4 linked regions of the Neodiprion lecontei genome follow. The protein of the gene in region 1 interacts with the protein of each later gene in a pairwise test. Links are inferred from orthologs where the notes say so. Each region holds a gene or a part of one and is shown on either strand. Other genes may lie near its edges. The genes, in order: DNA repair and recombination protein RAD54-like, 26S proteasome non-ATPase regulatory subunit 7, translation elongation factor 2 and DNA repair protein RAD51 homolog A.

Region 1 (7,493 bases):
AGATGCCGAAAACAAAAAGCATCTAGAAAACAAAACTTCCTATTTTCATAACAAGATGTGCGCTGAGAAGTCGAACGTGGAGTATTTTCAAATAAACTCATTTAATAATAAAGTTGCTGTTGCTATGAAGTTAGTGTCAAGTGATTGACAGCTGTCATCGGCTGTTTATGACAGTCTTTGACAAATATCTTTATAGTTATCTGTTTCTGACTCACAAAAAATAAATATGCAAATGAGAATTATTAAGATGATTCCCGACGGGAATTGTCGTTTTCGCGCGCTGGCGTATTGTGTACACGGCACTCAAGATCGACACGCAGAGGTGAGACAGAGTATCGTTTCGAATACAGTTGATGATTGGTCTACATTTGCGGCTTTTATTACAGGTAATGACTCAAACGGTGCCGTGATTATGTCACCTGGTCACAAATCACACATGAATAAAAATGGAATTTACGGGGGAGAAGCAGAATTAGCTGCAGCTGCGGACATTTTTAAGACATGTTTAATCGTGTATCGCGGAAAACAAATTAATCCACACCAAATCGGATCCCAAGATGAAAGACAATTCTCGCCACTCTTCACCGGCGACGGAGACAGTGGACAAAACCAGTACAAATCAGCATAAATGAATTCACCTGTCTAATAGACAATGTATAAGGAAATAGTGGGGCGCGAAGCGCGCAGGGGCGAAGCCCCTAGTATACAATAAAAATGTACATATAAATTAATTGAAACATGAAAGCTATCCATTTGTATAACTAAGAACTTATACGACATTTTATGAAACAGTTTATTTAATTTTTAATACTATTCTCATTCTTTGTTGTCACGGAATGACGATTTTACTATAAAAATCATTTCGGAGAATTATTCACACCTGAGCTCCACATTATTCTAAACTTATATTATAATACATCACAATTACTTTTGTTATCGAATATCAAAGAATACGAAACATTTCTACAAACTGAACTTCGAATCATTATTATTATTATTATTATTATTATTATTATTATCTTTCGCTGAGTGAAAACTGTTTATAAACGAAAAAAAGTATTTTATAAAACAAATTGATGTTTTCGTGACCGCCTTTAGGGATCTGTTTTATGCCATTACAAAATCGATGAATGGAAAAAATAAGAGACAGGAATGACAGACATCATATTAACGTATTTAACAGGAACTAGTTGCAACTAGATACAAAGCTGATTGCAATTATTTTCGTACTCCTCTTAAAGTACGCTTCAATTATTAAAATGACGTTCTACTATAGTCTGTATACATTTCATTCTTCGGCTTTAACGAGTTCGTGTGACCGATGATGGAATACAAAGGATATGCCACTAGCCCAGCACTGCCGAAGTGGCAGATCGGGTAAATGACGAGGATTGTTGGCATGTCTCCAATCCGACAAGTCAGAATTGCAGTCTGTTCCTTCGGGTGGGCCGCGAACCTCCACTCCATTTACGCACCTCTTGCACTTGAATCTACATAAACAATAAAAATGAATATAAATCATAATATCGTGACAACAGTGCTTGTCTTTATACTTTGGGATTATAAGAAATCGAGCATGGTCAATGATAATGTTGATAATGGTGAAAGTTTAATACGAACTTTGAATGGGTATCAGATGTGGTGTTTTCTTCCAACGTGAATAGATCGCGCAAGTCGCTTAAAGTAAAGTGCCTCGCCACATCATCTTCTTGGTCAACTACAGTCGAACTTAATGCTTTCTTGTGGGCCTGTCTTTGGAATATCTTTTCTTCTATTGTACCAGTCTGAAAATTCAAATATTGTATTTGTTTGCAAATAATTAAGACTAAAAAGGCTAATATTCCATCACTGTGAGAATGTATTATTATTTACACAAAGCAAGCGATAAATGAAGCAAGGCTTTTTTTGTCCGTCTCTCCAAACTCTGGCCATAGCTTGGTCATCGTTGGCGGGATTCCAGTCAGGATCAAACATAACTAGTCGGTTTGCGCCAATCAAATTAAGCCCACATCCGCCTGCCTTAGAACTCAGCATGAATATAAAATCGCCGCTGTTTGGATCATTGAAACTATCTACGACTTTGGATCTCTTTTTTATAGTCATCGATCCATCAAGCCTAACATAACGATATGTACGCTTTCGACATAACTTTTCAAATAAGTCCAAGGTCTGTGTATAATTTGATACCAACACAACCTTATCCGTTGTAGTTGACTTTACCAACGCCAGTAAACAATCCAAGACCATCAATTTACCAGACAGCTCTGGCAAGACATCTCTGAAAGTTAAATAAAAATGGTAATGCACAAGCATACAAGATAGCCGCAAGTAATAATTAACAAACATTTTACAAAACACTACTGTATTTACTTTAAACTATAGTTTGGAGGTAGAAGTTCTGCAGCATTTTCGAATCCTTCAGACTTTTCCAGAATTTTTTCGTACACCAGATCAGGATGATTACAAAGTTTTTTGAGTAGTGTAATAGCGGACAATGCTGAAAGACTACCTTTCTTGCCAGTGCCAAATTCATCACCTAAGTAATAAAATTTTGATAGTAAAGAGACTTAGAAAAAAGAAACAATATTATTCAGTGTAATTAGCACGAAACAGGTTGCTGAACAATTAAAAGAACATAAAACATACAGAAGTGGCTGACAGCAGATATAATGATTTGCACCTTCTACTTGCCTTGCATAGATTTTCTGATACTGTCGCTTTTGATGAAATTTTGATACAACTGAGTTTGCAATTTGTTAAGTTTAACGCAAATGACCATTTCATGTTTCACAGGTAAATACTTTGACAATAGCGCACTTGTACGTCTTATCAAGCATTTGTTTACTATTGTTACCAGCTCTTGAAGACATTCTTGCGCTCTTTGGCGCTCCGAGTCAGTTGCTCCAGCATCTTGACCTTTCAGGATCGGGATTTCAAATTTCCGACGGAATTCCTAAATAAAAATTCATGTAACCTAGTAAAGAAATAACATTTTTTGCCAAGTCTATTGGGTCTTCAATTCATACTCATTATAAGAAATATATTATGCCTGTGCTAAGTTTTAACAAATTAGCTCTTGAGTTTACCAACTAAAAGTAAAACTGACGTGTTTGATGTGAAGATAGTAAAATGTATCAGTGTACCTGGGCAGTTCCAAGAAGTCCTTGATTCACAAAATGAACCAGTGAGAAGTACTCGAGTAGGTCATTTTGAATGGGTGTTCCACTGAGTAATACACGTCTTTTTGCTTTTAAACCCATAAGTGCCTGATAAGTTTGATTTTCACTGTTTTTCAAACGATGACCTTCATCACACAATACTAAACCAACGTCATCCTGATGTAAAACGTGAGCGTGCAAACGAAACGTTTCATAGCTGATTATCAAAATTGGGTTTGCACATCTGTATAGAATGAGTTCAAATTTTCATTTTAGATATTCATAAAAAAAAATTTGTCACAAGTTTCGAAGTAGTTCTTTGACCAATCACAAAATTAAAATGTGTTAGCATTGAGTGAAGGACAAAAATACTTTTAACAATTACAATACGAACTTGATTTAATAATTTGAGGGCGTTTTTTAAATAAAAGAAAAGTTTGTATAAGCATACCTACGTCCATAGGTCTTCATAAATCCTTTTAATTTGTTGTCAATGTCTGTTTTACTCCCACCATCAATGGCCAAGGGATTCACTCGTCTGCCAAGCCACTTATGTATTTCGTTATACCAATTTTTTACTAGAGAACTAGGCGCCACTATCACAGCTTTTTCAATAAGTGGTTTAGCTTCTGGTCCTTCAAAAATATAAATACTTTGTGCAGTTCATGGTGCTTACATGTACCAAAGTGGTAATTTTCTAACTGATATTGTTATACCTTGTTTCAGCAAAGTCCACAACAATGTAATACACTGCAGAGTCTTACCAAGACCCATTTCATCAGCCATTATACAGCCATAAGCATTTTCGATCCGTTTCCCGGTTACACACTCATACATAAATTTAACACCTTCTCTTTGATGAGGTCGCAATATATTACACAGAGCTGGGTCAACTACTACGTGAACAAGTTGTTTGGTCCTGCATGGCAAAACAGAAAATTAACTACGTTTTATTAATTCAACTCGAATATGGTAGTTATTTCCAAGAAGTATGTGTATGGAGTAGTATACTAACAATCATCCATATAAAAATAAAACAAAGTATGTTCAAATGAACTCACACATTAATTTGCTTGTCACGCTAATTACTGACTTGATGTAATACATCAACTAGTATTTGTTTAGATGGTCCAAAGATATGACAATATAACTTCAGTTTTAAAAACCAGACATAATTTGAATTAAACAATACTTCTCAACCTGAGTTATTTAATAAATGTACCAATTGAGGTGGTATAAATGCAAAACAAATTGCATACGTGTCTAGTTTCAGTTTGTCGTGTTCAGATAATTCAGGTGGTGTGTAAACAACCAATGCATTAGCCTCATCAGGATCGTGGAGCGGTGTTCGAGGTCCCAACATACGCATACCAAGAGATCTGTTAGAGAGTTGATAACCAGGAATTGGAATTTTAAACGGCCGGTTCAATAACTTTCGTATTCTCTCCTCCTGTAAATACAAATATATTTGGTCCGTCGCTCTTAACACAAGCATTATAAATTCCATGTAACAATCATAATTTTGATTAAGGTAACTTCAATGCGGGAAAATTTATAGATTGAAATAGGTTTCATTCCAAAACTTAAATGAATTTAGCTTACATGTTCGGATAATGATTCTGGAGTAACGGCAATTGACAGTTGTACGAGTGGCTTACGTGAGATTTTAATTTCTTTCAACTCGGTCTTCAACCGTTTCTCTCTTTGTGGTATGGTGGAGCGTGGCTGGAGAGGAGAAAACTCTCCAGGTCGTTTGCCTTTTTGGCTTGGAGCGCTTGATCTCATCTTTAATATAAATCCTACATTTAATTCACTATATCTTTGAACATAGTGATAGAGAATAACTCAATCATACAAGATACTAATTATTTGCAAATAGAAAATGGTAAACATAAATTGCATGATTGTTGAATGTCTGGAGTCACAGATACAAAATAAGCAAATCCATATTATATAATCGTAGAAATTTTGGCATTGACATCTTCAACTAGGAAAAAAATGTTCACAATTTTCCACTTTATACACCTAACACATCACATTTGAATTTTGTTCAATCTTGTTGAGAAAGCGACAGCATACCCACAACAAAATTTTCAGAGCTTATAGAACATACTCGTGAGTATTCTACGAGTTTCTTCTAATGTATAAAAAAGAATTTTATTTTTCATTTCATTTCTTTCATGAGAAGTTGAAAACAGCCTAGACTTGATGAGATTTTTTTCTAACAACCTGTGAGAATTGGCAATTTATTTTTGACCTTATACACTTGCATCTGTCGATTATATGTAACCAGAGTTGTGAACATGCAGACAAATTTTTACATTCATAAACTTTAATTTGGAAATGTTCAAAGATTAACATGAAAAAAATTGAGGTTAGATTTTTGGAAAGCAAATTATCGTATGTTTACCAAAGTGAAAAACCGTCTTTCTTCTGAAAAACTTATTATAAGATTATTGCTGTCACTCACCATTTTTCTTGATTTTTATATCACTCGAGCATTGTAAAGTACCAATCAGAAATACAATTACAATTATAGGACAGCCACAATTCGAATATGTATTTATATTTGAAATTCTACAAATTGGCGCGACCATAAACACAAACTTATGAACATCAACCACGGTCTTACACACAGGTTTGGTAACTCCGGCACTTTTGAGTGGTAGGGGGTGTCACCGTTAGTGAGGCACGCGGTCTTGTTTCCTATCTACCCGCTAGGGGCGCCATTGGCCCGGGGTATGATACATATAGATATATACCGATAGTTTTGAGACAGTTTGACACACACTTTACACCGAGTTATGAACTCTCAAAAACTTCGATGAGCAGGTAATCTTACCGGTAATACCGATGTCGTGTATACAGGTCTAGGCATGGTCGTGTATACAGGTCTGGGAACTCCGTCCAAAAACCTGTGCCTCTAACTGAGGCCGATATTTCCAAATTTCGCCACGTCGATAGTGACGGAGGGGCATGCGCGCACTACAGCCCCGCTAATCACACACGTGCCCCCGAGATTGCAGCGCTCCGCACTTTTGCGGCTAATGTCGGAAACATGTGTCTCAGATAGAGGCACACTGTGGGGTATACGAAATATATGGGAGTGCCCAGACCTGTATACACGACCGTGAACCAGAGCGAGAGCACGAGATCTTATTGTTAGAGGTTATACGAATGATAGCGACGAGAGGCTGTCGTCGTGGTTTCTCAGCTTCTCCTGTCGACTGCTTCGCCGGCTATTGGTACATAAAATACGAGTAGAAAGGAAACAAAAGTCGAAAAAATAAAGTTAGCCACGGTGCATGCATCAATGGACATTACTTTACGTACTACGGCCTTTATCAAAAGATACTCATAGTTATAATCTACTGTTATTCCGCATCAAAGGAAGTTGAAGCATGTATAGTTAGACCTTGCACCGTTACACATTCATTTAATTTTGAAAAGTGAGCATTGACAATATTATTGTTACGTTTCCGAAAGGTGGAGTTGAAAATGTTGAAGAGGTTGTTCGAAAAGAGATACGTGATTTGTAGCTACCTACAATAAAAAGAGTACCGAAAACGGTAATCGAAGATAGTGTAGCAAGAAGATAACTCGAGAATTTCCATGCGCGTATTTATAATTAAACATGCAGATCACTGTGCCACAAACCATAATCATCCTTATCATATGAAAATATTTTTTTGGAATATTTAGCGTTACAAGTGCGCATCATAGATTTTTATTATTGTTAAGTGAAAGGCGTGTTAGCCCAAAAAGTACAGACACGCGGCATTAGGCGTTGATATACGTGTCAAAAAAAGTAGATGATTGGTTGCAAAATCTGCCAAAAGCATAAAGACGAAGTGCTATATACATAACCTTAGGCCGAATATGAAATATGTTATATTAGATAGTTATTATTGTACGTCGTAATGGGGTTTATAAGCTCTGGCCTGCATGCACGTGCAATAGCCCACTGCAGGAAGCGATACCTATAGTACAATATTATATTGTTATTATCTGATGTAACCATTATTGAAATAAATCAATGAACAAATTGATTCTTTCGTATTTTCTCCGTATCTTCTGAGCTGTTTGTGTTACGATCTCTGATCTCCTTTTTTTTGGTATGCTCGGGGTTTAATTGGTGGGTCATTAGAATCGATTTAAAGGAAAATGTTTTTTACCCCAAGATGAAAGAAATAACAACACCAACAGCAGCAGCAGCAGCAGCAGCACTAGCTACTACTAGCTACACTAGCTACTACTAGCTACTACTAGCCGGACCCGAATCCAAAGCACTTACCAGCAATGCAGCACCTGAACGGCGTGACCCGTCCTACATTT
Region 2 (5,544 bases), on another chromosome or scaffold:
AGGAAATCGGGGGCTCGGTGGGGGGGGGGGGAGGGGGCACCGGCACCTCAATACCTTTCCTTATAAGTTTGTTAATGCTGCAGTAATGGTTTACTAAATTTCAAGTAATCCTAAAGTTGCACAATAACGATTTTTTTCAAACATACATCGCTACATTAACGTTACAAATTTCAGCCTGATACAATATGTTAGCCTGATGTTTAATTGCCTGTTTTCCTGGCACTAAATTTATGACTACATTATCACCGTTGAACTTGACCCCTGGTAGACAGATACACAATACAACCTACTTCCCATAAATGTGCAGTTTTTCAGCATAAACATATTTTATCACCAACGATATTTATATTAATTTATAAATAGTAATCACATGTTTTTCCAGCGTAGTCACTCTGTGGTAATAACACTCCACAACCAACTTACTCATATTTTACTTACGTATTGTATGTATTCCATTGTAATCTCATTATGTGACTAAGGATCATTGAATGTTACTGAATATTCGAATTTTGAAGCTGTTATATAAACCGTCCCAAACCACAATAATCTTTATACTTTGAAAGACAGTCAATGAGATTCCATGGAACACCAATAACCGTCACTGTTGTCAGTTTCCGGCTGAAATTTGAGCGTTAAACTCATTAATCCTCTTAAGCATTGGTAGTTCATACGTTTTCTGAGAAACTAAAGAATGAATTACAGCAAACATCTAATGAAAAAAGAGAAACACATGCTCATCATTATGTAATATATAATTTATTACACTAAATTATTACAAAAATAATTTTTCATTTCTGTTAAAGCTTTGCTACGGTGTGAAATCTGGTTCTTAATGTCCTTGGGCAATTCCGCATAAGTCTTGTCGTATCCGACTGGCTGGAAGCATGCGTCCCACCCAAACTCCCTCGTCCCTCGTGGATTGACTATAACCCCATCAGTAATACCTCTAAAAATACTAACATCGCCATCGGGATCACCGTCACAGTATCCAAAAGTACACACTGCTTGAGCTGATTTGTCATTCCAAGCAGCTAGCATTTTGGGGAGACCATCAACACCCAACTTTTCCATAAACCACTTAATATATGGCCCGGGGAGACCGTTCATTGCATTGAAACACAAAGAAGTATCTTCTACCACAACTGGGCCATTAACTATTCGCGCTGCAGCTCTGCACTTATCCTTGCATATGTCATCGATTTCTCCTTGATATTCAGGTAGATCAATCTTCCTGCTTGTGATGTCTCTCGGAAAATTCTTTCCTAAAATTGCTATCACTTCTTCAAGCTTCTTCGCATTTCCAGTTACGAAAACTATCGTCTTTGACATTTTCAATCTTCACGGTTAGCGCCCTGAAACAAATTAAGTATTCCTCCTAAAATCTGATTCAAAATCTTCCTAGTACGTCTAATATTTCGCTAATCAGACAATAACAAAGGACAAAATATATGCAAGTCGGTTAGCTTGGATAAACTTTTGACACGTGGTCCTCTTTTGTTGGCAACGCTGTTGGCCGTAAAATGACGTAATAATAATAAAAAACCAGTTTTCGAACGTGTGACGAATTGGTTAGTGACAGAAATTCATGTATCTCATAGCTTACACGTATTTCTTTTTATTTTCTCTTACTAAACCATGGAATATTCAACAGCTACTTTACTGAGAAAAACCAAATACTTTCTTGGATGTCTCAACTACAGTCTCAACCAAAAAGTGTGGAATAGGTTGGTACGACGAGTAAGGCAAAAGGCACACTTGTTGCCAATATGAAACAGGCAACACAACTTTCCCTAGAATAGAACCAAACGACGGACATTTCCATCCAGAAACCTTCAACCTAGCTGGTATCACGAAAAGCCGAGCGTTGGAAATCTCCCTACTCATCTCTGGCAGCACTGCTGCTGCGTCAAATCACTAGACAGCTGTTAGTAACATCTAGGAAGTTACTAAACTGCTGCTGCTTTCTGCTGCTCATGAAATTCCACCTTTACACTGTGCAGACTGCAGTGTGCAGAGCTCGGCAGAGCCAAGTTGAAATTGAGAGCCTGTGTCATCTGTGATCTGTGTTGACTGTTGAGTATAAGCGGCAACTAATCTATTTCCGACGTTTGTGAAATAACTGATCAAAAAATGCCGAGTCAAGAGGTCTCCACAGCAAAAGTAGTGGTTCATCCACTAGTTTTATTGAGTGTAGTTGATCATTTTAATCGCATGGGAAAAATTGGTAACCAGAAAAGAGTTGTCGGCGTATTATTGGGCTGTTGGAGAGCCAAGGGAGTATTAGACGTGTCCAACAGTTTTGCAGGTTAGATTCTATCCTTTAGTTATTTATATTATTCTACCACCTCTGGCTGCTTAAGCAGGTGAACAAAATACTCTGCAACTTGTTATTGAACTCATTATTGAGTAGTTTTTATAATACAATACATTTATTTTTGCAACTTCTAGTCCCATTTGACGAGGATGACAAGGATAAATCAGTGTGGTTCCTCGACCATGACTACCTGGAAAACATGTACAGCATGTTCAAAAAAGTTAATGGTAAAGATTTTTATTGAACATAATTCATATTCCTTTTGATTGGACCCAACAAAGAATTATCACCAATCTCTAGTGATGCAAGTTAATAGAGTCGCCGATGAAAAAAGCGAGCGCTGCCAAGTCTAATACTACTATAAATTTCTGACTCTTCAAACATTATATCCACGTATGTTTTTCACTGTGAAAGCAATGATAGCTCCGTCAAAGTCTCTTATTGTTAGACAATGAATTGGCAACAGCAAAAAATGGTAGTATATTGCCATATTTTTTCAGCGGTTGATGCTATGATATCTTGATTTCAGGTTTTGAGTTCCTTGTATTCTAATTCGTCAATAAGTTTGATTCTATTCCGACATGGCTTTGCAAGAATAATCGATTGCGCAAGTCACTAAGGGCCTAAAATTCCATAAATACTGAAACTTATTTGAATTGCCGTTCTTTTGTTATTGATGTCTGTTCGATTAAAAACAATTCGACTAGTGCCCCATTGATTATATGATGCATTCAAAAGATAACCCTGCATCGCTATACAACATGTACCTAACAATATTTGAATTTATTTTAGCTCGTGAAAAAGTGGTCGGCTGGTATCATACAGGACCAAAATTACATCAAAACGACGTCGCGATCAACGAATTAATCCGTAGGTATTGTCCCAACTCAGTACTGGTAATCATCGATGCCAAACCCAAGGACTTAGGTCTTCCCACAGAAGCGTATCAAGCTGTTGAAGAAGTCCATGACGTAAGCGTCTTACTCTAGATACATCGCAATTTATGATTTTCTTAAATCTTGTTCATTTATAGATTTTCCTGCATCAATTAAACCAACATTGTCTGTAGATCTGGCTAATTTTCTATGATCTAAACTTTCTTATAGCACACTCAAAGAAGGTAACTTATCATTACTGTGCATGCAGCAGAAATAACAAAGTATTTCGTCCCCATGATTTATATTACCATTTACCAGAACTGTCAAAAGTCTTAATACAATTACCAATTCACTGTGGAATATATTAAATTTTGCTAACCATACGATAAAAAGGTGGCTCAATTGACGTAAACGGCCTAATGTAGATGAAAGACTCAATTATACATACTATTTGCTTGAATCAGGATGGATCACCAACTTCTAAAACCTTTGAACATATTCCGAGTGAAATCGGAGCAGAGGAAGCTGAAGAAGTTGGAGTCGAACACTTGCTCAGGGACATCAAAGATACCACCGTCGGTACACTCAGTCAAAGAATAACGAACCAATTACTTGGATTAAAAGGACTTCATGCCCAAATTCGAGAAATTAAGGACTACCTTATCCAGGTTCGATCGATCTATGTTTCTACTACATATTTCTCACGTATAGCTCATACCCAATAACACCCGATTATATCTTCATTGCAAATAACAGGTTGGCAATGGGAAACTACCGATCAATCATCAAATCGTTTATCAGCTACAGGATATCTTCAACTTGTTACCTGACATGTCACAAAACACGTTTGTCGATTCACTCTATGTCAAAACAAATGATCAAATGCTGGTAGTTTACTTAGCAGCTCTTGTCAGGTCAATCGTAGCACTGCACAATTTGATAAACAACAAATTAACGAATCGAGATGCAGAGAAAAAGGAGACTGATAAGAAAGAGACGAAAAAGGATGAAAAGAAAGAAGATGAGAAGAAAGATGAAAAGGAAAAGGCAAAAGTTAAATGATTTATACATAATAAATGGTGTTGAATACTGATAAATTATTTCACTGATGCAATGAGTAATTTGATTTCGTCGCCTATGTTATTTTAAACCAAGCCGAACTCATTTACGACCTAGACGGAATGACACCACAACTTAATCTATTTTCAATAATAATGTTATTACTTTCCTCGTTACAATGAAAGTGATCAAAGTGAGATGATGGAAAATTGTAGTTTCTCGCAGAAATACGCCTTAATATTACATCGTTAGACTTTGATGTATTTAAAACAGCGATTACGAAAAAGTGTAAACAGAACGTGTTTTTTCTTTTGTTTTTCGAATTAAATGTACTCGTATCTATATGAGAGTAACTTGAAACTCAAGATTCTCAAACGTTATTAAATTCACGCAGAAGTTTCAAATTTTACTAATTGTAGTTTTGTTACTGCTGGTTTGAAATAAACCTAAATGTTCATTAAGCGCTTAGTTCGTGTACATATTCCTCCTGACCCGCGAATTACGTGACTTCATTATCGAATAATTTATACACTGATTCTGAAAACCTCCAAACATTCTTTTCAACTTTTAGCCGTATTGTAACAAGAATAAATAGAACGATACCATCGATATAGCCGTACTTTTGTGATTCACAACCAGTATACATGCCCCACGAAAAAGATCATTTACAGTTTTGCTCTCACGGAACATGTTTTTACGCTGCAGCATAAACGGACCTTGACTAACATTGTATTTTATAATAAACGTAACTTTCTTGACTAATTTATTATTTTTCTATCGTTTCCTTCTCTGAATCCGAGGTGATGCGCATTTCTTAGTCTCATATTTGCTAAGAAAGCCGTCGTGAAAATCAAATCTCAGCGAACTTAACTCCCCGAAAAAAATGATACCATTATAGCGGACTCATACCAATCTAGCTACTTTAGCCAAGCGATCCATTGATTGACTCATAAATTGCACGCACGGAATATGTATTTCAATGCTAAATATAAAATTTGTCAGATTATAAATGTGAGGTCAAAACAGGATTCCGGCCAAAGTCTGCAGTTGCCGATAGAATATATTCCGCAATATTATGCTCACATTAATCTACAAATTATTAAATAAGTCACAGGTGAGAGAGTGATCAAAATTTTAACGTGGTCAGCACCACTATCGACTAATCCTACATAGGGTTCCAAGATTGTGTCATTGTAGTGTTGAAAATACCAATTGAAAGAACTGTCCTCTATTATTCTTACATTATCGTCGTTGCCATTGATTTGTTCCATCAACTTTGGTGTCGTGTCGTCT
Region 3 (5,043 bases), about 16 Mb from region 1:
ATCGTTTACTTACGGTCAATCAGCGATGCCAGGTCCATACAATATCCCTTCTGCTTCTTCGAAAAGATCGTGCTCAATGGATTGTTCAGTCCGACGAGCTGTCCTCGCCTCTTTGCTAGCCAGGGATGCCCGGCGGTTTGCTTGGGTGATGCGCGCATTCTTGTACTTAGCGGCGAAATCTGCGGCACTCGGCCCTATCGTGCATCCCATCGTGTCCAAAATTTTTAAAATTGGGTCGTAACCTTCATTGAAGGTGCACAAAGCACACTGCGTAGCGATTTCTACTATCTGCTTGCCGCAGAATACGTGCTTTGGGGCTAGTTGCCACACACAGTGATTGAAGCTCTCGTTATTGTTTTGAGTGTTCGCGCCCGGACATCGCTTTTTTTTTTTGAAAATTGAGTGCGACAAAAAAATAAGTCGCGCGACTAATTTACGGCTAATTAACGGCAAATTATGCAATAGTCCGAATTCACATTTTCGACAATTGGCGAGCCAAGTTCATGTACGTGCAGGTAGGAACGAGACAATAGAAATAACGGTCGCACGGGCAGCTGTAGCGCTCCGTTGCCTTCTTCCAAGAAATGCTTTACAGTAACCGAAATAATCTGAATTTCGGCATGAAAATTTCGGGGAATATTCGGTAGAGTGTATACTATTCGATATAGCAAAAAAAAAAAATCGATTTTTTGAAAATTTCACACTGGAAAGCTCCCTTAATACACACAACTGTGCACGGTGAAAAAGGAGAAGCAATATTAAAAAAAAAAAAATAACGAGGAAAAAAAAATTGAAAAATCATTAACGTAAGAGGATAAACAGCAATAGTAACTTCACGTAAAGTGTATATTGTATGCGTGCGCAATCATGCGAATTCGCAAAACTCGACGGGAATAAATCTTTACTATTTCCACCTTTTGAATGTGTTTAAGATATTTTGTTTTACCTCTGATTTTTTAAATTCAATCACAATTATATGAATATTTATTAACCGCTTATGTATACACGCATAATGTATTGATTTGAAAAAATATATAACATATATCTTTGCAGAAAAAAAATAATTTGTTTGAATAACTATTTGTTATTTCTTTAAGAATTCCTGACGTTATTTTGTGTAGGCTACAGATGAATATTTTTATTTTCAGCCGAAGGTGATTGCGATTTTATCGCAACATTTCATAGGATATGGGAAAATCATCTTAATTCGTTGAAGCCTTGTCGAACTTGTGGAAGAACCTTCAGAAATGACGCTTTGCTCAAACACGAACCGCACTGCAATGGCTCCTACTACAAAAAGAGGATCAGACGTTCTGTAGGAGTAAAAACAAGAAGGAAATGAAGATGAGATGCATATTACATTCATTTCAGTTCACTAATGCGATTATATACTTACAACTAATATCAGAATTTGAATATTTATGCTAGTACAATAGTACATAATACGTTGCAGACAAATATATGTAATCATGTTAATCGAAGACGATAAACGTTTATACTATATAAGAGAGTCGTAAGAATACAGGTTCCATTGAGATCATCCTGTACGTCGAAGCAAACCAAACATAGTAAATAGAGTTAAGAATATTGTTGCACAATATTACAAAACCTGGTGTGTTGCACGCAGATCATGCAGATTGACGAGTAAATGCAATGTAAGCAAAGCCGGAAGATAGTAATTGCGACGCGACGACGAGTGACGCATTAAACGTGAGACGAATATTTTTGGTTGGGTAGAGTCGGTTGTTGTTTGAAAAAAGAATAATAAAACTAGTGAGAAAAAAAACTAACATTAATTTATTTTTCTTATGTTAATTAATCGCGGATAACGCAACCCTAATCCTCCAATGATAGCATACAAGCTCATTTAGAGATTGGTTTGGTTGTTTCACAGCGTCAGCATCCGTCAGGTGGCAGCAGTTTTCCGACGCCGTTATATTTTTTGTGCATGCGTGAAAATCAGAGCTCTGATTGGTCGGATTTAGTGTGGAGAGTGTGTGTATTGCTACGCGCGCGCCATCTAGGACGTACGAACAGAGATAGTGACAGAGATAGCCCTCTTACTGCACTCTAGTCCGCTTGACTATTCTTTCCCAGGGAGTCCGCCGTTGTTGGCGCACGTATATTTCTGACCAGGCTAACGAAAATCGGACAACATCCAAAATGGTAAGTAGAATTTTAGCATGATAATGGATAAATCGAATTCCGCATGAATCGGAGAGTGAAATAACGTGTTTATTTTTTACACCCGAGCGTCGGGGAGTAATGAAAGAAATTAAAAACTCCAGGATTGCTCTGGATTGCGCAACCCTCCGAACGTCATTGCTTGAGAATGAATTACCATTCTCGACAAGGACCTATCCTAATAAGAATTACGCCGAACCCTCTTCCATATTCTTAACGGCTATATGCTTCCAAATTTCGTATGTCGAATCCGAACTGAACGATGCAAATCTGTAGAATATGTCGATCGCATCCCTCACAGACATTGCCCGACAACGTGTCACAAGCCAACATGACGATCCTCTTGCCATATTCACCAGTTTTCTCGAGTTTACATGCTCTCACAATATTGGCCGAGCCTTGCTTATACGCTTTATTAATTATAGCTTTTCCCACGGACTCTCCTACTTTTCGAAATTCTAGGCGATTAATTTACCAATATGGAAGAGAGAGTATCAATATTCCGGAAGAGAAATGAAAGTAGAAGCGGAAAAAATTTAACTGAAGCTACATATGGGTATATTTGTTTAATGGACGACCAACTACCAAACTTAATCATATCTATTCAGATACTAATCTTAGATTAGGATACCCGTCTCCAAATTAAACAATATGTTTGGAATCTTACTACGTAATATGTATTATATCTGACAAAAGCATACTAGGGATATCCAAGCTTTTCCAAATATTTGACCAAAGGAGGCAACCGTTGATAATTAACGGTTGTCTGGAAAATATTTTTAATCCTAACAGTTAGGATTGCAGTATGACCTTTAAACCAATTAGTTTTTATTTACTGTGGAAATATCTATTTATCTAATCATGCTTATGAACAGGCTAAGAAAACTCCTTCATTGTCCACTGACTACAGGCTATTTTCAATTTCATAATTTATTTTTTCTACCATAACTTTACATTGCTATGAGAAACATTTTGTTTTGTAATTACCTGAACAAAGTTGCCAATCATTACTAGCAGAGTTTAAATTAATTGAAAAATAAACTTGGCTTATGTGTATTTAAGAAAATTTATGATTATACTTTAGGTGAACTTCACGGTAGACGAGATCCGTGGGATGATGGACAAAAAGAAAAACATCCGAAACATGTCCGTCATCGCCCACGTCGATCACGGAAAGTCAACATTGACTGACTCCCTTGTTTCTAAGGCCGGTATTATTGCCGGTGCTAAAGCTGGTGAGACCCGATTCACAGACACTCGCAAAGATGAACAGGAACGTTGCATTACCATCAAATCAACGTGAGTATTTAGTTTATTTTTTCAAATATTGCTATTACAGCATTTGATAACAGAAAATGATTTATTTAAAAATTCGAATAGCTCAAATCTGCTACTGATATTACATTCATTTTACAATACTGTTCTTTAGTGCCATATCCATGTACTTTGAACTTGACGAGAAGGACTGCGTTTTCATCACGAATCCAGACCAACGTGACAAAGAAGAGAAAGGATTCTTGATTAATTTGATTGACTCTCCTGGGCACGTGGATTTCTCAAGTGAGGTAACGGCTGCTCTGCGTGTTACTGACGGAGCTCTTGTCGTCGTCGATTGTGTTTCTGGTAAGCTGGATTGTATATAATTTTCTGTACACCTTCCAGCACACCAGGGCAACTCTGTAGTGCGCCGAACAATTTTTCTTGAAAAGCTGTTCCGTGCACTTTGACAGTGTTTGCAGTGCATTTATGGAAGAAGATCAAATATGTCACTTTGTTTAAACGCTGTCAGTGGACCTCTATCTTTATGTCCGATACTGGCATGCTACGACCTTGTTCCTACAAAACAAATTAATTCCTTTGAATTGTGTTTGATAAAAATCACAATGACCAAGTTGTGTTGGATTTCAATTGGCTACTTTTCTGCAGGAGTGTGCGTACAGACCGAAACAGTACTTCGTCAAGCTATTGCCGAACGTATCAAGCCTGTATTGTTCATGAACAAAATGGACCGTGCTTTGCTTGAGCTGCAGTTGGAAAGTGAAGATTTGTACCAGACTTTCCAGCGTATTGTTGAAAATGTGAATGTCATCATTGCCACCTACTCAGACGACGATGGTCCCATGGGAGAAGTTCGTGTAAGTTATCCGTGCTGTGTGAAAAATACCCTAACAAATTCCACAATTCATCACCGTCAATTAATAATTTGTAGATTGAACCAATTAAAATATTAATTTTTCCTTTCTAAAGGTTGACCCTAGCAAGGGATCTGTGGGCTTCGGGTCTGGACTCCATGGATGGGCATTTACATTGAAACAGTTTTCCGAAATGTATGCTGAGAAATTCAAGATTGATGTTGTGAAACTGATGAATCGACTCTGGGGTGAATCCTTTTTCAACCCAAAGACCAAGAAGTGGAGCAAGCAAAAGGAAGCTGACAACAAGCGGTCCTTCTGCATGTATGTCCTTGATCCCATCTACAAGGTATTTCTAAAACATATTATGTATATTGTGTCTCAAGTTTATTGATTACTGAACGAAAGACAATGCATTGAAACAACAAAGTTTTCACTGTACTATCAATTGGTATTTCTAGAGTGTTATGCACATTTAGAATGCATTTTTATTCTTTTGTGTAGTCTAAAGTGACTAACAAACTGCAAGTATAATAGAGTATGTCAGTGTGATTCAGTTCTATGGCTATTTTAGTATTCGTTACACGAAGTACATGTTTACTTATGAAATATGTTTTTTTTTTTTTTTCAGGTATTCGACTGCATCATGAACTACAAGAAAGACGAAGCTGAGAGTCTATTGCAAAAGTTGGGCATCACTTTGAAGCCTGAAGACAAGGACAAGGAT
Region 4 (3,702 bases), on another chromosome or scaffold:
AATTATTCAAGACCGTTTAACACCAAACAGTTGTATACTTTTTATCTTCCCAACGAACGACGATGAGCTGGGATCAAAATTATGCGCGATGATAAAACTGACACGATTGCGTCATTGATAACTTAACCTAACAGCAATTTTCGCCGGCTGCTTGTGTCACGCACGGGTGTCATGTGTACTACACCCATGAGAGGTATACCTATAACAATCACGTATATATATTTCAGTGGTAACAACTCACCAGGATGAAGGACATTAATTAAGGATGGCTAAAAAATTCTCTTTTTTGTATCGATAATTTACCAATCGAATTTTTCTAGCATCGATTCCAAGTGTGTAAGAATCGAATTCGATTTTCAAATCTTGAACTAAAAAAAAATTTTAAAGTCCATAATTCCATCGGCTTATTCGTGTATAAATAAATAAATAAAATTGCCTAAGGAGTTCAGATGATTATGTTAAAAAATGTTCAAGGCTCTGGAATAACGAATGAAAATGATTTATAAAAAAGCAAAGAAAGTTTATTTCATTATCATTTGCGTTTTCTTTGTTAATTGATAATACACATTTTAAATTACTGCCCATCAAACAATTTTTACACAAGGGGAATTATTCATTTATTTATTTATATATCGTAATTAAATTGCTTAACGATTACTGATAAATTAAACATTACAATCTACGATAGAAATACGTTCTCATATATAAAAATATTAAATCTTTTATCTTAGAGTTATATTATCCTATATAGTATATCGTATCACAAAACTTTGTCAACTCGTTATCAAAATTATTCTTTAGCGTCCCCAATGCCGTCCGAATTTATAGAAAACATAGCTTCGCTCTCGGGAAGACAGGGCGAGTCATATATTTTGCAAACTCTAGTCTCGCCCCTGCCCTTCCTCAAGTACAATCTTGTGGTACTGGCGTGAGCGATGATGTTACCGCCGATGGGCTTCTTCTGATCGCCGCCAAACATACTGGCCGCGCCGTCGACCTGGGCTACAACCTGGTTCGTTATTACGACTGCTACGCCGTGCTCGTCGGCAATTCTCAGAAGCATCCTTAGAAACCTAGCAAGGTGCATTTGTCTGGCGGACAATTCCCCCCTACCCGAATAGTCCGTTCTATAGAGACCTGTGGCGCTGTCGACAATTAGCAGCGCGTATCGAGACTCTGTCATCATCGCAGAAGCTTGAATGAGCAGCTGTGTCTGGTGGTCGGTATTGAAGGCTCTAGCACAGGCGACATTGTCCAAAACAGACTCGGAGCTGATCTTGTACCGTTCAGCTACTGCGATTATCCTCTCGGGACGAAACGTGCCCTCCGTATCGATGTAAAGGCACTTTCCTTCTCCACCGCCCATGTCCACTGGCAACTGGCAGTTGACCGCAAGCGTATGACATATCTGCGTTTTGCCTGTTCGGAATTCCCCGAATATCTCGGTTATCGAACCCGTCTCAATCCCTCCACCCAGGAGCCTGTCCAGTTCCGCGGATCCTGTCGTTAGATATACAGTGTTCGCCCTGTACTGATGGATCTCGGTTGCAGTCTTAAAGCCCATCACCACCATCTTGTACGCAGCATCCAGTATTTTCTCTACCTTTGCCTCGCTCAGCCCTTTTATCGTGGTGAGCTGCTTCTTTGGCGTGTACGCCACTGACTCGACAGTGTAGTAACCCGCTTCCTGCAGTTTTTTAACATCACCCGCCGTAATGCCATTACCCTGAAAAAAGAAACATGCATTTTACACTTTGATACTTGTTCCGACGAGCGGTGAGAAAACAAGCTAATAGGCGGGAATATTTTATGGTTAGAGAGAGTTCACTTAATCCTCAGTTGGGCCGATTTAGGTTAGGTTGGGTAACACACTTCTTCGCATTCATTACTCACTTCTATAGCCTTTATCAGTTTCGCCTGTGGATTAAACTCTTCTAAATCCTCGTCGCCCTGGATAGACGCAGTAGTTGCCGTAGCCGTTACCGACATTGAATTAATTTTTCGCCTGCTGGACGAAGCGAAAAAAGAACCTTCTACGCGATCCTGTCAAATTTCGAGTCGGGTCACAACGTTGTTTCCCGCCGTAATAATATTTACGTAACACGTATACCGACTGAAAATTACCGACGGTCCGATAACGTTGTTGTTCTGTTTCAGTCAACCGACTTGACCGGTAAATCAGACTGCTATGCTCATCGATTAAAAAAACCACAAGAGCCGTGACGTCAGACGTGAAAAAACCACCGCTGCTGCCCCACTCCTCCGCCTTGGTTGTACAGTACCTGCCACTGGTTGGGTGGCCAAACGACGAAGCAGCAGGTCGTTAATTCATTAATACAAGCTCATGTTGTCACATAAGAGTCTGCCGAGCATTAGAGAAGTCAAAGCAGAGCCAAACAGCGCGGAATTAGTACGAGCTAGAAGGTAGCGATACATAGACAGGATGGCAGCTCTTGGAAGGAAAAACTCAACGACGACAACAACGGCAGCAGCTGCGGCTATAACCACAGTTCTATTCGACCTGGACAACACGTTGATCGAGACTAGAAAGGGGGATAGTTTAGCGTGTAGAAAGGTACGTGCTGAAAAATAAATCAGCCAAGACGTCGGTCACGCGTTCATCTTGCTTTCGTTTATTTTCACCGATTCATTGCTACCTGCAGTGCGTGTGTGCGTGTATGTCGTATATCTCGTCGCCGCAACGAATAAAATGAGAGGGAAACGGGGGAAACGGGCCAGACAAAAATGAAAAGAGAAGAAAAAATTACGGATCGAAGAAAATAATCCGTACATAGACACCCGTTTGCTTCTCATTCTCTCGCTCGCTTTCAACTAGTTCGCTATTCGCGTTGCGAACGAACGAATGAGGCGGCGAGCGGGGCGAGCTATCTCTGGAAAAATACCGCCAACGTATGTTTCGCACTGTGCGAGCTACTTTCGAAGGGCACGTGACGTCACGGCATCGCGACGCGGATGTGCGCGTTTTATTCGATTCGATTGAAGCACCGAAAATTTTCGATGATCCAATTACGTTGGCAGCAGTGCTCGCTTCTCGTCGCTAAAAAACATTCGCATTGATCTGCGTCAGCTGAAGTTTAGATGCTCGTTATAGCGTAGCAATTTGTAACTCGATTTACAAACACCACTGATTAAACTCTCTACATTTAATTATTTCAATCCATTGCCCAGAATCATAGTGTCAACAGGGTTCGCACGCACAGGGTAAACTCACAAGAATTTTAAAGTAAGACTGAAATTTTGAGTTTGTCGAACAAGTAAACTCGTTCTTATATACAAAGTACTGTCGATCTTAATAAAAAAAATTGCACGTAAAATTTTGTTTCGTCGCACCACTTCATACATTCTATGTATATTACTTAATACCAAACATTCTTTCGATTTTTTTCTTACGGAAAATCGCAGGCTGTCGTTTGTAAATTGTTAGATAGTAAGTTAGTTATTAAGTAATATCGAAGATATTAGTATTAATGTAAAAAAATTAGCGGCATATTTCTTTGAAGGCTACTGGATAAATCCTATTTCCAGGCTGAAACGCTTAGAAACATCGGGGACTTTTAGATTCCAAAAAGCGTACGAACTCTGGTCAACTTGACCTATGAAAGCTTATTCTACACATTCTACACACTTTAGTGCAGAATTCTATCCGTCTTATCCATTATCCTCGCAGTTACTCGTCAGTTT

The links.
Region 2: the proteins of DNA repair and recombination protein RAD54-like (region 1) and 26S proteasome non-ATPase regulatory subunit 7 interact in a two-hybrid assay, tested with the Caenorhabditis elegans proteins (2 studies listed by BioGRID). The link is inferred for Neodiprion lecontei from reciprocal best matches to the Caenorhabditis elegans genes rad-54.L and rpn-8.
Region 3: the proteins of DNA repair and recombination protein RAD54-like (region 1) and translation elongation factor 2 interact in a two-hybrid assay, tested with the Caenorhabditis elegans proteins (2 studies listed by BioGRID). The link is inferred for Neodiprion lecontei from reciprocal best matches to the Caenorhabditis elegans genes rad-54.L and eef-2.
Region 4: the proteins of DNA repair and recombination protein RAD54-like (region 1) and DNA repair protein RAD51 homolog A interact in a two-hybrid assay, tested with the Caenorhabditis elegans proteins (3 studies listed by BioGRID). The link is inferred for Neodiprion lecontei from reciprocal best matches to the Caenorhabditis elegans genes rad-54.L and rad-51.

The regions. Positions count from the first base shown.
Region 1 is NC_060260.1:23,067,550-23,075,042, forward strand, and holds DNA repair and recombination protein RAD54-like, read right to left. Parts: upstream 5,752-7,493; 5' UTR 5,632-5,751; coding exon 5,629-5,631; intron 5,261-5,628; exon of another isoform or gene 5,238-5,260; intron 4,944-5,237; coding exon 4,761-4,943; intron 4,609-4,760; coding exon 4,418-4,608; intron 4,078-4,417; coding exon 3,875-4,077; intron 3,794-3,874; coding exon 3,610-3,793; intron 3,403-3,609; coding exon 3,144-3,402; intron 2,954-3,143; coding exon 2,692-2,953; intron 2,537-2,691; coding exon 2,371-2,536; intron 2,279-2,370; coding exon 1,873-2,278; intron 1,785-1,872; coding exon 1,621-1,784; intron 1,491-1,620; coding exon 1,289-1,490; 3' UTR 505-1,288; downstream 1-504.
Region 2 is NC_060261.1:13,991,585-13,997,128, forward strand, and holds 26S proteasome non-ATPase regulatory subunit 7, read left to right. Parts: upstream 1-2,002; 5' UTR 2,003-2,130; coding exon 2,131-2,305; intron 2,306-2,448; coding exon 2,449-2,541; intron 2,542-3,106; coding exon 3,107-3,285; intron 3,286-3,656; coding exon 3,657-3,860; intron 3,861-3,948; coding exon 3,949-4,254; 3' UTR 4,255-5,013; downstream 5,014-5,544. Other genes in the region: inosine triphosphate pyrophosphatase, read right to left, coding at 760-1,329; protein artichoke, read right to left, coding at 5,331-5,544.
Region 3 is NC_060260.1:38,939,537-38,944,579, forward strand, and holds the start of translation elongation factor 2, read left to right. Parts: upstream 1-2,011; 5' UTR 2,012-2,163; coding exon 2,164-2,166; intron 2,167-3,268; coding exon 3,269-3,483; intron 3,484-3,613; coding exon 3,614-3,807; intron 3,808-4,110; coding exon 4,111-4,319; intron 4,320-4,431; coding exon 4,432-4,665; intron 4,666-4,947; coding exon 4,948-5,043. UniProt on the Caenorhabditis elegans protein: Catalyzes the GTP-dependent ribosomal translocation step during translation elongation.
Region 4 is NC_060266.1:1,583,453-1,587,154, reverse strand, and holds DNA repair protein RAD51 homolog A, read right to left. Parts: upstream 2,120-3,702; 5' UTR 1,990-2,119; coding exon 1,894-1,989; intron 1,727-1,893; coding exon 791-1,726; 3' UTR 543-790; downstream 1-542. Other genes in the region: N-acylneuraminate-9-phosphatase, read left to right, coding at 2,444-2,575.